Saccharomyces cerevisiae S288C: one gene and its partner. Changing the gene in region 2 together with the main gene of any one other region gives a genetic interaction. Each region holds a gene or a part of one and is shown on either strand. Other genes may lie near its edges.

Region 1 (2,888 bases), on a different chromosome or scaffold from region 2:
TAGCTTGCACCTTTTGCGCTACACTCACTGTTACAGTGTGAACTCGACTGCCAGTTATATGAATCGGCCTTTGAAAAGTCAGAGGGTAGTGAGCTAAAACAATTCACGTATTCATAGGCGTTCGCTTGCGATAAAATGGATAATAACGCCAGAAGCAGACTTGTTTTGTTCGGTCTCATTATTTAAATAGAATTTTTTATCCTGAGTACTAAATCAGCCAACGTACTATCCTGAATAAATGTGATGCAGATTCCTTTTTCTCCTCTTGGTTATCTCTCTTTTTCTCTCTCCTTATTAAAAAATTTACGGACAACGAGGAGCTTCTTTCTTGTTTACCTTGATTACCCTTTAAGCAATAACAATATCAATACGAGATTTTCTGTAATGTTAGTGCCTGGTCGAGTTTACTGTATCGTCCAAGAAAACTACACTGCGTTAAATTCTTCCAAATGAGGCTATGATACGCCAAACACTTTTATTTTTCCCCTCCGTTTCTCTCGCTTTCGCTTCGAAAATTACATTATTTTCTTCCCCATGCAGCGTTATTTCCATCTTCAGAGAGGAAAGGCGGAGAAAATTTTTCTTGAGGAAGGAATTCTACGAAAGTAGTCAACTATATTACTAATCGTTTGACATAGAATGCCAAAGTTGCAGCTTTTCCACTAACGTCAAATTTGCGTAACAAGCGCTGCTGTGTAAACTGTCTTGCTTTTTAATAGGACTGACAAAAATTATAAGCGGAGAGATAATATTTAATACTGCCATTGACCTTAGTACCGGTACAGGACAATATGTTTGTATCCTTGGTGTCATAAAGAAGAGAAAAACAAGATAAGATCTCCACATTATTTTGCAGAAGGCGACTTTGGGGGCCGATGATATCTGCTTCCAGAAGTATGTAAAAAAATTACACACCATTAAGTTCTTATGTAAACCGAAGTCTGGAAGAGAGGTGGTGGAATTTCCAGTCTGCTACTAGGCAAAAAACTTGAAACACTTTCATATATGATGTTGTTTTGCCGAGCTATTACAAGACGATTTATCATAAACTACTTGCTTGAGCAGGAACGATTTCACAATCTGTTTAGCAGGTTGTTATGAAGTAGACACGATAAAGTTCTTGAAGAAAGATTGTGGATGGGTTTGCTGAAGCTTAGAACTAAGAAAAGAAACAAGCACGCGCAAGAAAACCGCTACGGCTAACTTCTAAGGTGAGGATATTGTGATTGTTTATGCCTCATATTTTGCGTTTTTATATGTTCTTCCTTCATACGGCGTGCAAATTATCCGCCGGCGAACAGGGTGCTATTCTAAAAGGAACTTTGAAACTGTAAACGCGGTGTACTGAAGGGGTCATCTGAACGAACAATATTTTATGCTTTTGTTAGCCAAACGGTACTGATAAGGGACTGTGAAAAAAAAAAGACAATGTATGGGGTTCACGGTTTCCCAGATTCGTGTGTGTGTAATAATTCGTTTACGGCGCACGACAGACACTTCAGGAAATTTAAAGATCAGAATAGGCATACACTCCGCGCAAGGAAAACAAAAGTTGCTACCGTAACCGGCTCGTACGGGGAAAGCAAGGTCATCTAGTGCTCACTTACGAACTGGCATAATCGAGTTGTGACTTCCAAACTTAACCGTACTCTCACAGCTGATGTGATCCGAAGAAAACCCTGAAGATACAACAATGGCAACCAAAGGCAACTTAAAAAGGCAAACGAAGTACTTTTCAACAATAGCTTACACTGAAACTCGCGGAGAGGCGACGCTGCGCGCGAATTATCAGTAAAAATCTCGTAACAACCCATCTGCCACTTTTAGAAGGAATGGAAATTCTCAAAAAATGACGGAAAATAATAGAACAGGGTTCCTAAACGATGCATTTCTAACAAGTAGGATAGTCCAAAAGGGAGGATGCAAATTCTTTGTTTTCCACGCAGTAAGATATGATCCCAAGCTTTCGAATATAAAAAGGGAAGGATCGCTAGGACAGATCAGTTTTTAGCCCGTTTACTTATCTCGTTCCCTACTCTTGTTCTGATAGAAACCAGCAACAAAAACCTATTCACTCGCTTATTAATACCATAAAAAATATGGCTTACTCTAAAATCACATTACTAGCCGCTCTTGCTGCTATTGCTTACGCTCAAACCCAAGCACAAATCAACGAATTGAACGTTGTTTTAGATGATGTTAAGACCAACATTGCCGACTACATCACCCTATCCTACACTCCAAATTCAGGTTTTTCCTTGGACCAAATGCCAGCTGGTATTATGGATATTGCTGCGCAATTGGTTGCAAATCCAAGTGATGACTCCTACACCACTTTGTACTCTGAAGTGGACTTTTCTGCTGTTGAGCATATGTTGACTATGGTCCCATGGTACTCTTCTAGACTGCTTCCAGAATTAGAAGCAATGGATGCTTCTCTAACTACCTCAAGTTCTGCTGCCACATCTTCAAGTGAAGTTGCTAGCTCTTCTATTGCTTCATCCACTAGCTCTTCTGTTGCACCATCCTCAAGTGAAGTTGTCAGCTCTTCCGTTGCACCATCCTCAAGTGAAGTTGTCAGCTCTTCCGTTGCACCATCCTCAAGTGAAGTTGTCAGCTCTTCCGTTGCTTCATCCTCAAGTGAAGTTGCCAGCTCCTCTGTTGCGCCATCCTCAAGTGAAGTTGTCAGCTCTTCCGTTGCTTCATCCTCAAGTGAAGTTGCCAGCTCCTCTGTTGCGCCATCCTCAAGTGAAGTTGTCAGCTCTTCCGTTGCACCATCCTCAAGTGAAGTTGTCAGCTCTTCCGTTGCTTCATCCTCAAGTGAAGTTGCCAGCTCCTCTGTTGCGCCATCCTCAAGTGAAGTTGTCAGCTCTTCCGTTGCTTCTTCT
Region 2 (3,763 bases):
TAAATAGTATTTAGGCAACTAAAGATAAAAAAATATTATTTATTTTTATTCGCGGTGCGTTGCCAGATTTTTTTTGACATGCGGAATTTTGGTAAAAAGAAAAATGCAGATATGAATAGTAAACAAAGGAATAAAAAGCCTTTCATGAAGAAGTTCGTGTTCGAGATCTTCTTCCTTCTTTTTCGCTGTCGACGATAGATATGAATGCTTTTGCCATTGATTTCAAATCCGTCATTAAGCTAACATGACCTGAAGAACTGGCGATTTTACAAACAACTGGAAAGCCTCTCTGTTCAGGCAATAACCATTTATGGTGAACAACACCGTCGCCCGGACCATAGTAAAAATCTTCATAATTCCCATCTTTTATATCTTGTATACCGTTCACTTTAGCACCTCTAACAGTGGGAACCTTGTTACCGTAAACCATGGCCAATGGAGGATATTCTTTGTTCGGGTCGTAATCTAAGCTATCCAAATAATTCTTTGTACGTTTTAAAGTTCTCGCTAAATATTCACAGCTATCTTCATAAGATGTATGGAAGACTTCATCGAAAGGCACATCCCTTGGTACCTGTTTATTATTGCCGGCTACATTCCTAACAACAGGTGCATTTAGGACAAACTTGGTAGTTGCGTTTAGGGTAGCTTTAAGCGAAAGCGCTGATTTCGTTTTCCTTGGTAATAATTTTGATTTTTCGTGAGCTGATTCCTCTCTTTTCTCATTGACGAGAGGTGACAAGCCAAGGGTTTTCCAAACATCTGTATCAAAAAAATCGAAATCATACCTCTCTAAGGTAATTTTGTCAACAAAACATCTACCATCTAACGGTAGAAAATAGAAACTACTTCTCATAAAAAAGTTGGTTTCTTTAGTGAAAATAGTTTTATTCCACATCACATCATCTCCAAACCTAATAGGACCTAAAATATTTGGACATTGGCTTGGGGAACCCACGTAAATAATACCTCTTATCAAATGAGTACAGTCTTGCAACACTTTATGTGCGACCAATCCGCCCATTGAATGGGCAATGATGTATATTCCCTTCTTATTTTTTTGCTTATTGTAAATTTCCTCTAGTTTAGTCGTTAAATGCTTGGCAGATATGTCCAAGGATAATCTCCAATCATAGCCAAACTGCTGAACATTTAAATTAGGATTTGCGTCTAGCCTCTTTATCAACCTCTTAGAGATATCAACAGGCCCTATATGTGTTAGCATTCCATCAGGGACAATCTCCTTCTGAGTTTTAAGTTCATCTTCGTCATTAGGTCCGATCAATAAATCGACTTTCGTCATATTCAAACCTGCCTTTAATGGGATCCAAATTCGCTTATGAGTAGTAGCATCCCTTAGCACACTACCTCGATATCCACCCATTATAACGACATCTCCTTCCAATTCATTCCATATAGATTCTAAACGCGAACGGTAATATCCGTCATGAGTTTTGTCGAATGGGTCTGCTGTTATTTGCTTAATGGAGTTCTTCAAGGCATCCATTTCCAAAGATTCTTTAACAGCCCTTAACCTTGAATTATCAATGCCCCTTTCGTATTTAAATAATTCTATCTCTTCCAAGGAAGAAATGGAGGTTGATTTTTTCAGTTTTTGCTTGATCTCATTCTTTCTTAGATTCTTTTTGATGAACTCATCTGGAGTCTTGGGAAGCACAGTTTTAATTATGGCTAATGGTGAACTTGATCGGAAATTTGTATTACCAAATGGTAAGGAAAAGGAGAAAGTTTTATGAGAGCTGTCATAGTTCCCGTCATGCGAATAAGAAATAATTTCATCGAGATCTTCATCATCAGCGTCAAGAGAAATGGCACTCGCTTGCTTCTCTTCTAAATTATGATAGTTATTGGGCCCAGTTGTTTCCTTCTTTCTTCCCCTTTGTTCACTATCGCTGTCTTTTTCTACTTTATTGCTTATAACTCTTGCACCTCCAATCAAGGTATCCACTTTCTCCATTGTATCCAATTCACCTTCGCTTTCATTTACGGAAAAAAAGCTTACATCACTACCACTATCACTTGAATCAGAAAGACATTGCTTGTTATATTTATCATTATCGGAAATAAGATCAGTAGCCGGAGTTGCCATCATTGTAATACTCCCCAGTTAACCTCTACAAGTTGATTCTTTTACGTATCACCAAAATAGGCAGGCTATTCTTACCCAGTCCTTTCTTTTTAAGGGCGTCATAGAGTTGTAAGCATTTTTTGAGAATGCAGTGATGAGCTATTAACTTCTCAAAACTTCCTGACGTTTTATTACCCGGATTGAAGTACCTTGTATTCTTGGAGATGTCTGTGGTCGAGTTAGGAAGTGTGAACATGCCTATCAACGCCCCAAAAACCAGTGCAGATAATGATCTGGAACAATTTTTCCGTGTTTTAAACTTCCTCAGTAGAAGTATTTTTATTTAGTCGACTATAAAGGTGGAAGTCCATACTTAAGAGATATTAAGGGTATTTTGATCAACAAGTAAGTAACAATCGTTATAAAAATACAATAGCAAAAGTATGAGCGGAGAAAATCGTGCTGTGGTGCCGATTGAATCAAACCCTGAAGTTTTTACAAATTTTGCACATAAATTAGGTTTAAAAAATGAATGGGCGTATTTCGATATCTATAGCTTAACAGAGCCAGAGTTACTAGCATTCTTACCAAGGCCAGTGAAGGCCATTGTGCTGCTATTTCCGATAAACGAGGATAGAAAATCGAGTACCAGTCAACAAATTACAAGTTCTTATGATGTTATATGGTTTAAGCAATCAGTCAAAAATGCGTGCGGATTGTATGCAATTCTTCATTCTTTGAGCAATAACCAGTCATTGTTGGAGCCCGGCTCCGACTTGGACAATTTTTTAAAATCTCAAAGTGATACTTCAAGCTCGAAGAATAGGTTTGATGATGTTACTACCGACCAATTCGTCTTGAATGTAATAAAAGAGAATGTACAAACATTTTCTACTGGCCAGTCAGAAGCACCAGAAGCAACTGCAGATACTAATCTACACTATATCACATATGTGGAAGAGAACGGAGGGATATTTGAACTGGATGGAAGGAATTTGAGCGGACCCCTCTATTTGGGAAAGAGTGACCCAACTGCCACCGATTTGATTGAACAGGAATTAGTTAGAGTGAGAGTCGCCTCATATATGGAAAATGCAAATGAAGAAGATGTATTAAACTTTGCTATGCTAGGATTGGGCCCTAATTGGGAATAATAATTGTTTTATTACTGCGTAGTCAAATATGTATTTACAGAATTCTTTTAAATATATAATTCACCTACTCATCATAGCCACCGCCAAAAGAAAGGAAACCTCCAGTTTGTCTGGAATGTCTCGAAAAATAATCGAAATCGATGGACACAGCGTTTGCTAATAACACGGCCCTTTGATCCAAAGTTAGTACTTGAGAACTTAGCATCTCAGTAGGATAAATATTATCAAAGCATCTCTGCGAATCAAATCTAACAACATAAACACCAGTATCGGTAAACATTTCTCTTCCTAAACCAACCCAATTTCTGTCTACACTCGCCATTATCTTACCATCAGCATCTGTTACAGGAAAATCAAATGATAAGAAAGGTGCATCTATCTTACCAAATTGGTCAAAAGTGGATCCTTCTACTCCATCTTTCTGGAATAATTCGTAACGACGCCTCCAGAGATGCCAGTTCTGAATGGTCTCTCCTACTGTCGTTCCTTCTTTACCGTCGTGATAGTGAGTGGAGTCACT

What was found. A genetic interaction does not mean that the proteins touch.
Region 1: mutations in YJR098C (region 2) and YOR008C-A together harm fitness more than expected from each alone (negative genetic interaction), as found in Saccharomyces cerevisiae (one large-scale study listed by BioGRID).

The regions. Positions count from the first base shown.
Region 1 is NC_001147.6:342,236-345,123, forward strand, and holds YOR008C-A (uncharacterized protein), read right to left. Parts: upstream 847-2,888; coding exon 622-846; downstream 1-621. Other genes in the region: SLG1 (Slg1p), read right to left, coding at 1-179; TIR4 (Tir4p), read left to right, coding at 2,100-2,888.
Region 2 is NC_001142.9:613,044-616,806, forward strand, and holds YJR098C (uncharacterized protein), read right to left. Parts: upstream 2,114-3,763; coding exon 143-2,113; downstream 1-142. Other genes in the region: ubiquitin-specific protease YUH1, read left to right, coding at 2,533-3,243; AIM25 (Aim25p), read right to left, coding at 3,308-3,763.